3 linked regions of the Xenopus tropicalis genome follow. The protein of the gene in region 1 interacts with the protein of each later gene in a pairwise test. Links are inferred from orthologs where the notes say so. Each region holds a gene or a part of one and is shown in the gene's direction. Other genes may lie near its edges.

Region 1 (2,890 bases):
CAAACCTTTCCTTTATCGCACAATCCTGTTTAAACGTTTTCTGCCCATATGTGCTGGGAATCCTGTGCCAGTGAGTGGTTGCGGGCTGCAGTTGCACTACAGACTTCCAGCTGTATGGCAGGAATATTCCCTGTAGGTTCGCCCAGAAGTGCAGCGCAAATTCTATTCGATTTTATAAAATATAATATTTTATACATATATGTATAAACATTTATAACAATTAGTGGTGCAAGGAAACCTCGTATTTATTTGTTCGGCACCCAGAGAATGGGGGGGGACTAACTTTCACACATGCGTTTTGCTCTGGCTCCGCAAAAATACAATTACAAATTTTAAATACACAATTTCTATAACTGTGTGAATATAATCCATTAGGGAATGGGAACATTGAAGCTACATTCTCAGTCACATAGTGGGGAATTGACCCCCTCCAATTCTCTTGCTCCTTATATCAGATCCAATTAGGAATTTATTTTTGACAGAGTATTTCTAAATTTAAACGGGGTACAAACCAAAAATATTTTGCCTTATGGGAAAGAAACAAATACCCACGAAACTTTCCGAAATTAATTCGTTAAAAAGTCGCATTGGTTTCTTTTCCTCTTTTTTTGTTTTTTTTGTTTTGTTTTGTTTTATAATTATTATTTGGAAATGTAATTGCCATTGAAAGTAGTTTTGCTGGTGTCTCTTGAAACAATGTAGCACAATGTGCGTGTTTCTACACAGGTGTGTTACCAGTTGGCTGGTGTTAACATTGTTTCAAAAGTCAGAACCACCGGGAAGGGAATAGAAGAGAGAAATAGTAATTGCTTTAATTAGGAAATCTGAAGAGTTTCAATGTTTACTGGAATGTTGATTTAGAATTGCCATTTCTTTTTAATTAGGAAAAATGTATTTTATGAGTTGCATCCTCCTTTAACCTTGATAGCCTGTGTAAATATAAAGGCAAAACAATCCTTCCTCACCCCCCAGCCATGTATGTATGTGAGTGGATGAAATAACCAGTAATCTAATACAGGCACATGGGGTAATGCAATACACACACTGGCATTACAATACACACACACACTGGCATTACAATACACACAGTAATATTTTACACACGCACACACGGGGTATTATTACAATGCATACAGGAATATTCCATATATAAGAGAAAACAAATCTTTGCTTGGTGTTGGTGCAACCTGAGCTGCCAGGTATGAAGGGAAACAGCATTTTAAGATCACCCCCCAAATAACATTTAGTATGGCTCAGTGTGTCAGGGTCCCAAGAAAATGGTGTTAGTGGTGGCGGCTGGGGCTGTTATACAGGGTGACAGTGGGTACAATTGCTATTGGCCAATGACTGACCGTGTCGCTGTCCCCCCAGCAACTCCGCGGAAGCAGCGCAGAGAGCGCACCACCTTTACCCGCTCGCAGCTGGATGTGCTGGAGGCCCTGTTCGCCAAGACTCGCTACCCGGACATATTCATGCGCGAAGAAGTCGCACTAAAGATCAACCTGCCGGAATCTAGAGTCCAGGTATGGGGCCAACTTCTGAACTGCGCCTTATCTCTGCTAGTCCCTAGTCTCCCATCATACACGGCTTTCTACTGCTCAGCACCCAGGGGCAGTTTAGTGGCTTTATAGGGACTGGGTGACAATGATAAAGAAGGAAAGGGCCTTGGGACATGGCACCCAACAGGCAGCAATCGTGTTACACGGATTGGTTAGTCCAAGGTGCGCAAAATCGCCTGCGTTCATTCCTACCAGTCAGTGTTAATCCGGCCACTAGGGGCGCTGTTACCATTTAGAGCCTGAGGAGAGTGAGTGCGAGAAGCAGGTACTTCTCAATAAAAACACAGATACTCCGTGTTGCTTAATGCTAATGAAACCTATTTAGTCAGTTACTGCTGCCTTTCATTGGGTTGCCATAATATATTACGGATACTTTTTGGGATTGTGCTGAGCCGATAAAGTACAATACTGGGTGTAATATTATTCTGCCCCAAAGCCGGGCAGGGCTCCCCGCTGCACATTTCATTCCTGTAGTTGCGGCCCCAATAGCAAACTAACCCCGCACTGTGGGGAGCACCGAGCCCTGCGCTTGAGTTTTATGCAATACGATCAAACCATTGTAGCACACGATCCGGGGGTGTCCTGCTGAACCCTGCTGGATCGTGTGGGTGGATCTCCGCATTGTTACCAGCTGTGTGTGCCAGTCGTGCAGGTATTGTGTGTCTTAATGAAACTGTCCTTTCCTGGATTACTGAGCTATTTTAATTGCCGGATCGGGTTTCTGACTGGGAGCTTTATAAGGTACGAACAGCACAGGGCCCTTCCCCTAGGCAGCAGCAGCAGCAGGGGCAACACTAGTGCGCTTTCCCGCCAGAATGAGAGGGGTGGGGCTAAAACCTGTAGCTCCCGAGTGCTGGGCGTGGCTCCATTCAGGGGTAGATCCCAACTTAGCAGAAAGGGGCCTAGTCGGCTTATCCACCGCCATTTTCTGTATTCAGTGCAGTAGAATTATGTAGGAATAGACCACAATGGCGTGTTCTCCGTTTAAATTCTATTTTGGTATTTGGATGTAAAAGACATTATTTGTAAGAGAATTAAGTGAGTTGGGTTAGGGGTGCCATCTTAAATGTGTCCTGTGTGATATTTATTCCCAGCAGCCCCAGCTAACCGAGTACAGATGAGTTTACCGGACAAAATCGAAAGTTTTGAAGCCGTAGTTTCCCATGAAATTAACATTTAATATGATGTAGGCAGTGCCATTTGGTATGAATTGGTCCCAGTTTTTGTCAGGCTTGGACTTTGAATCTGCTGGCTGGTTGCTAGGGTAATTGAACTGCTATCTGGTTGCTAGGGCTAGAGTCAAATTTAGGAAATAAGTACAAATGACTGCA
Region 2 (3,659 bases), on another chromosome or scaffold:
GATCTTACTTCAGGCCAGAAGGCATTATTGACTCTCGAGGGGGGACAGGGGCTGGGGTTATTCTGCAAACTGCTCATTATCCAGGAATGTATGGAGAACAAGAAAGAAGGAGATTGTTTCGCTCTTTATCTGAGGGACCACAGCATTACCCAGCTCATGCACATAGTCCACCAAAGAGAGGCAGTTTGAGGGATACACGGCCATACATTTGCCAGCCTCCTCCACATGAACCTCTTTTTACACCAGTATGCCCCTGCTCTCATTGTCAGAACTCGGCCTGCTACCCTGTAACTAACATGCAGCCATTTCACCGTGGGGAGCTGCCATTGCATATTCCTCAGCCTTTTGGACAGAGTGTTCAAATCAACCATGATTTCCCACATCCTTTCCAAGTCCCTCAAACAAAGATGCTGTATGGCTATCCACCTTCACATGGAGAAGAACCACTGCATTTTAACCATTTCACAGAAGGTGGCTATGGACATACATATCCACATTTTCTAAATCCGTCTTACCTCCCTCCTCATTGCCCACCTAATGGCTATGGTCCCCACTCATTTCCTAATTCCATATCCCCATATAGCCCACCAAGAGGTCAGTCTCCTCCTTCTGGCTCTATATCTCCTGCCAATCTCTCTGCTCCCAGAAGAATGAGCGGTGACACAATCTCTGCAAGCAGTGTCAGTGAACTCACATCTGTGGAACAACAGCAACCGGAAGGTGAGTATTACAGCCAATGATACAGACAATTCAATGATATTGTGCTTTTGGACAAGTTATTAGTCACTTTGGCATTACCGACACCTTAGTGGTATGGTAATTGCACCTTTGGCTTAAACATGTCAAAGCAGGACTCCAATTGTAAATATATCCATAAACTCCTACCGTTGTTACTTTTGGGTGAAATGGGTGGCACTCTAGCCTTCAGCTGTCTATAGGAACTAGGAGATGCAGTCCAGTTACAGCTGGAGGGTGGCAGGTTGAACACCCCTGCCCAAGAATCAGGGCGCCAGAACAGCTTTAATCAGTTGTCTCTTATTCCGGGTAAAGTAAACCAATGCATATGTAAAATGCTTTACATACTATGCTCATCTTATCAATATCAGTGTATAACAGAGGGGCGTTACTACTACATAAGAGGAATGTTATGTGGTAAAGCCCATGATGTAATAATGTGTAGCCCCCCACCCTCAGAATCTAGCAGCTGCACAAGTAAGCCCTGATGTAACTGGAAACAATGGTTATATATGGATCATTTATTTCCACTGTCAGAGGGTCTGGCTTTCATTATGGGGACTGGTAAACAAGGAGTGGAGTAGTGCTGATTTAGTATGGCCAGTAATAATGAGAAACCATTTGCTCCATCTCCTTTCTCCTCATGATTCTGCATGTTAAGTATTACTAAATAGAAATCACTTGAGATCTATGGGAAAGGTCAAAATGCATTTTGAAAATGTCCCCTGAGGCTGGCAACTCAACGACACTACCCCGTGCATACCTTTTCTGCCAGTGCACTTGTGCTCTCTGTACTAGAAGAGCTGAAACAGAGTTACGAGGCTAAAGTGCTGCACACTGCAACCTGATGCACATTTTAATTTCACTTTACGGCATGAGTGGCACTGATGGGATATTCTGTCTTTATTCTGTCTTTATTTAGTTGCCTGGAAAATCCCAATGATAAAAGCTACTTCAAATAGCGTCAATATGCACCCCTTGCACTTCCTCATAGTTGCACTTGTTGCTGCTACTTTCCTCCTGTTGCGCCTATTGCCGCAGACCAATGTGGGAATGTTGGCGCTACTTCTGTCTCTGAACCAGAGGGTATCCCTACAGTTCCCACAATGGCCTGTGTCAGTTTGCGCATCACAGTTGTGCCTAAAGAAAGTGTTGCACGCGTCACTCTGAAGGCAATATGAGATCTGCCAGAAAATTCCAGAGCAATTGCATCCAGTTCCTGTCAAAGCGCAAGCGCGTCTTAAATCATTCGCAGCAAGTCCGTCAGGTGCGTCTTTCCATGGCAACCACAGTTACTCTCGAATCATTGGAAAATTTAGCATTATGGGTTAAAGGAAATGGTTAATGCGTCTGGAAGTGCACATTGCACTGTGCCTATGGGAAGTAGATGGCCCCTCATTTCTGGAATTTTCTGGAAAAAACACTGGCCTTTCTTGGCTGTTATCATTCTTTCCTAACAATGTATTGGCATCAAAAGTTATATTTATTGACAAGGCTGGTAAAGTGCCGACCAGGTGGCTACTCTATGGATCCAGGGCCAGGGCCAGCCGCCCAAAAGCCCTACCAGGAAAACTAAAGGTATTTTCAAATAGATATGATACTTTATCAGTATGGTGCAAATTTTTAACCACAGCCTAAGTAAGGGTCATTTGTATGTACTCTCAGCGCATTCCCTTCCCCAGGCTGCCTGGCCCTTTAAAGGAACAGTTTAGTATAAAAATGAAACTGGCTAAAATAGACAGACTGCACAAAATAAAAATATTTTCAATATAATTAGGCAAAAATGTAATCTATAGAGGCTTGAGTGGGCAGATGTATAACATAATAGCCAGAACTCTACTTACTCCTTTACAGCTCTCTAATCTGTTAGCAGTCAGTAGCCAATCAGTGACTTGATGGGGGGGCCATATGGGACATAACTGTTTGGTTATTTTGCATTTGAATCTGACCTGCGTGCTCACAAACTAACTGAACAGTTATGGCCCATGTGCCCCCCCCTAAAGTCACTGACTAACTAAGAGGTTAGGAGCTGAAAGCAGGAAGTAGAGTTCTGGCTATTATGTTAGACATCTGCTCACTCCCACCCTTTATAGATTACATTTTTGCCCAACTAACTATATTGCAAATATTTTTTTATTTTGTTAGCAAGCTAGACAGTGCCAGGTGACCCGAGAGTGGCTTCTGGGAAAGTCATACGTGTGGCACCAAATGAAAGTTCCAGCGCCCTGCTGCAAATCATTGGTACACATGGCTTCAGCCTCAGGTACTGCTACTGTCTAAAAATTCTCCTGAAATTATAGTTAGTTGCCCTTTACTTCTGGCCTGTGTTGGTGAGTGTTGGAGCCACAATCAGGATGCACATGGAATAGGCGTGACCTGAGACTGCTAATCGGCTCTGTGGTAAAGCAGTTTCCCAACTAACAGAGAATCCTGTCTCCCTGCCACCCCACAATACTGCTATTTATTTATTCTTTGTGCTCCGAGAGAAACCAAAACGCACAAAGACAACATTTTGTTCAAGTTTCTCGTAATCATTATAATTATTATTGTTAAAAGAAACTGAGTATTTGCCTGATGTTTCTCTCTGTGGGAACAATAAATCACCTTCATCCCTAATATCATGGAATGAAGCCTCTGAGTTCAGTTCTGTTACAGAGTGGCCTCTCCTGCACAAGTGCTCCTACCTGCACTGTGGCCTAATCCTTTCTCATTTATCTCTAATAGTGCGTCTATTCAGGGGATTCCTAATCATTTGTGCTCAGGACAAATGGCAAATCCACAATATGGACAAGAGTTATGAATAAGCTGTAAACGTCCTTATAAATGGCCCTTAAAGGAAAAGGAACTCTGTAAAAATGAGACTGTATATTTCTAATAGCAAAAATGTAATCCATAAAGGCTGGAATTAGCAGATGTCTAACATA
Region 3 (3,659 bases), about 10 Mb from region 1:
ATTTACATGCTTTATACAGTATATTTTTGTAGAGACCTAAATTTCTGGAGGTTATAATTTTCCTTTAACTCTTTGCTTACAGCACTAACCTTTTCTGCGAATGGCATTATAATACTGGTCACCTGTTCTATTTTCTGTGCTAAATTCTTTAGTTTCCATTGTGACTTTCAACATTGGGTAAATAAGGTTAGTCACTTCTGAGCAGTATTTTGCAGTTCCAGATTAATTGCATGAATCATGTGTCTGCCTCGGCACATATATACAATGCAGCTCTGGCCATGCAACATCCCATAATATGCTTGAAGTAATGGCAGGTTGGTGTACTTCTTACAACAGCACTGATTTTAATTTTTTTAAGAAACAGCTTATATCTCTCTTTCATAAGAGGCGTAATAGATTGGGTCCCTTGTGATAACTTTTGTTTGATTGAGTGAAGGGAAACTGGGGAATTTAAGTGAAGTCTAACATCATCTTGATGCCTTTAGTGGGTCAGTAACAATAGCTTAGGAGGATTTTTAAAATGGGACAAAAGTAAGTTGGCACAAAGTGGGAAATGGAGTGAGGCCCCACTAATCCCACTTATTAATGCTAAATTATTGATGCTAAAACATTGTATAAGGATTATCTTAATTCTGAACAGACCCATCAATTTACATAGTTCAATTGGACTCAGGAATTATTGTTCTAAATGAATGGTACCAAGATTTGGGTATAGAGTGAGGGATATTGTGTAGGCTATATAGCAGTTCAGGTAGGTATATAATTTTGAATGTATTTATTGTAATAGTAGGCCTACATTCCTCTCCCTTCCTTTCATGAATACAGTGCTGCCAAGCACAGGCAATGCTGTATTCATTCAATTTTTATTTGTAGAGAGCAGTGCAAAATATACAAAAAACATGGTGGCTTGTGCCCATTATCCTAACTAAGTAACGCTACCTAGAGTTGCTCAGTTTTTTATCCACAAAAATCCTCAAATGCTTCTCAATTAACAAAGCCCCCAACACAATTTATATAGTGTATAACTAGCATTCATTTTGATTTAGCCACATGCATAACCTTGCATTAGTGTTTAACCTTATTAGCCAGATTGCTGCCCAGTGCTCCAACTTTTTTAAATCTCTCAGCAAAGCAGCAATGTCCTGTGTACAGCTATTTTAGGATTGCTTAAATGGACATAATGGATTGCACATATTGCTGCTAAAGGTACTGTGGGCCAAACACACTTCTGTTGCATCCTGCCCTACTAAGGAATGGTGTGCAAGTGCACATTTTAAAACTTGGGGGAAGAGTGCAGCTAGGGTTGCCACCTTGAAATTAATTTTATTGGCAGGCTGGGGGGCGGTGGCAATAGTGGGCAGGTAACGATGTCAATGGAAGTGTGGCAGGGGCGTAGAAGTCATAAGGGGCGGGGCCATGGTGCTAGAATCTAGAGAGGAGATTGAGGGGAGATCGGGGAAGGAAAAAGGTTAAATTGGGGTGGGTGAGAGCTTAGGTGGGTGGGCCAGAAGCTAAATTACAGGATATTACAAATTTACTGGCAATTACATAAAATAGTGCCCAAGTGGCATCCCACAGCAGGTTGTGCCAGGCACTACAAGCTTGCTAGACTCCAGTACCTTTTTTAAGGCATACTGGAAATTACCAGTCCTCAATATATTGCTGCAACTGAGTTATGTTGGTAAATGCAATACTGTGTGCATCCACACAGTGGCTAGTGCTACAATGTGGGGGAAAATATTCTGAATTCTGATCGAAAACTACACTTTACACACTTTGCCTGGTAAGTAGTTGCGCTCTAAACCTTGCACAATTTAGTATGATCAAAATAGAAACAATATTTATAGTGACAGCTTCTAGGTCATTCATAAAAAAATTAAAAGCAAAGCGCTATGACCAGATCCCTTCATTACTCCACTAACAACACTGGTCCAACCCATTCCATTTACCACCAAGCTTTGTAATCTATCTTTCAGTCCATACAAATATTATGTTTAAGACCAATATTCCTTAATTTAATCAGTTAATGAAGAAATAGTGGCAAAATCTAAGTAGATCTCTGCATCCCCAAGGTAGGTTTCTGCTAACCTCTTTATAGAAGGCAATTACATATGGAAAGATCTACTGAGCATAAAACCAAGCTGGCACAAACAAAACTGCCAGGCAATTCTAACCTGAAAATACACACTGACAAGTTTCCAGACAAAATTGGGCAGCAGGTGCTTAAACAAGATTTTTCCAACTCTCTAGAAAAATATCTTCTGGCTAAAAAGCACCGATATTGATGTTGTCAGGCACTTCCCATTCAAGTAAATGGGAAATGGTAGGGTCAGTTTCTGTCAGCTGAAAATAGACCAATGTTTAAAACACCAGCCTTAGGAATCATGCAGCCACTATGTAAATAAGCCAGAAACCAAGCCCTTTGAATGTCTGCGGTCGCTCGGAGCCTGTACACAATTTGGGAACAATGTCCTGCCATCCACAGTAGACTTTGGTTTTACCCATGACTTATTTCTATTTATAAGTACTGAAAATCTTCTGCTTCATGTGTGTTCCATTTAGCCTTTCTGTCTGCTGTCTTTTTGTAGCCACTGTGGACATTGCTGAGATGAGAAAGAGGCAGCAGGCACAAAATGAAGAAATCTCGACAGTGTCTCAAGCTCCTGGTGGGAATCAAAGGCCAAACACATGCTGCTTTTGTTGGTGCTGTTGTTGCAGCTGCTCATGGTATGTCATACAGTCTATTTGGTACCATATCCAATGCAGGTAAATAATAAATGTAAGACTCATGGTCAGTGACTTAATGTTTTACAAGTCATTGTCTGAATTAAGGCAGCTAACCTGGCTGTGAAGTGGGTTATATTGTTAAAAACAAATATGTCTTTTTGTTGGTTCAGTGTTGTATTTGCATGCAGATGACTCAAACCTCATTGTCTTCTGAACTTGATAGCTTGCTGTATGGTCCAAAGGGTGCAGATGTTCTGCTACATCTGTATGCTGCACATGGCTGTGTTACTAATAGTTCTCTGTATTACCCTTGTTTGTATTATACACTTCTTTTAACACCTTTTCCAAATACATGTCAGGTTTTCTGCATCAGAAATCTTTTTATTTAAAATACATACCAAAGTGGTAGAACTTTGCAAAAGACACACTTTTCTAAATAAATTGATATAGTAGGATTAACTCCTTTTATTTGTATTCATTTTTAAAATCAATGCACACCCTTAGGGCTTCTCTCCCTGGATTAGGGGTTACCAACCCCATATTCTGTCTGAGGAAGCAACCCCAAGCCACCCCTATTCTCCTGCCCCAAGCTGACAACTTTAGTGTCAGAGCAGGTTCAGAAGTGCAGAGAGCCCTATTAATCTAGAGAGCTGAATTTTCATTTTAAAAAAAATGAAAAATCGCTTCTTAAAGTAACCAGAGGCAGATTTTTGCCATTCTCACCTTGCCTCATGGCAGGAATGGTCCTGTATTCAAGTCAAAGTGTGTGGTCCAGCCATACTCAGTAGCACATAAGACGGTGCTGTCATCGGGGCTGCCATCAGAATTGTACAAGTTATTAATTTAGGGCCCCACACATGCGCCTAGTACAAAACTTCTGGACAGTCCCTTGTTGGCGAACAGCTAGTAGAGAGATTGGTTTTGCTAGGACA

What was found.
Region 2: the proteins of otx1 (region 1) and tns2 interact in binary tests that used the Homo sapiens proteins (3 or more experiments, as listed by UniProt). The two-hybrid records come from large-scale screens. The link is inferred for Xenopus tropicalis from reciprocal best matches to the Homo sapiens genes OTX1 and TNS2.
Region 3: the proteins of otx1 (region 1) and rgs17 interact in binary tests that used the Homo sapiens proteins (3 or more experiments, as listed by UniProt). The two-hybrid records come from large-scale screens. The link is inferred for Xenopus tropicalis from reciprocal best matches to the Homo sapiens genes OTX1 and RGS17.

What each region holds. Positions count from the first base shown.
Region 1 is NC_030681.2:32,913,629-32,916,518, reverse strand, and holds part of otx1 (homeobox protein OTX1), read left to right. Parts: intron 1-1,371; coding exon 1,372-1,523; intron 1,524-2,890. UniProt on the Homo sapiens protein: Probably plays a role in the development of the brain and the sense organs. Can bind to the BCD target sequence (BTS): 5'-TCTAATCCC-3'.
Region 2 is NC_030678.2:147,566,956-147,570,614, reverse strand, and holds part of tns2 (tensin-2), read left to right. Parts: coding exon 1-720; intron 721-3,659. UniProt on the Homo sapiens protein: Tyrosine-protein phosphatase which regulates cell motility, proliferation and muscle-response to insulin. Phosphatase activity is mediated by binding to phosphatidylinositol-3,4,5-triphosphate (PtdIns(3,4,5)P3) via the SH2 domain.
Region 3 is NC_030681.2:43,009,830-43,013,488, reverse strand, and holds part of rgs17 (regulator of G-protein signaling 17), read left to right. Parts: intron 1-2,588; 5' UTR 2,589-2,608; coding exon 2,609-2,727; intron 2,728-3,659. UniProt on the Homo sapiens protein: Regulates G protein-coupled receptor signaling cascades, including signaling via muscarinic acetylcholine receptor CHRM2 and dopamine receptor DRD2.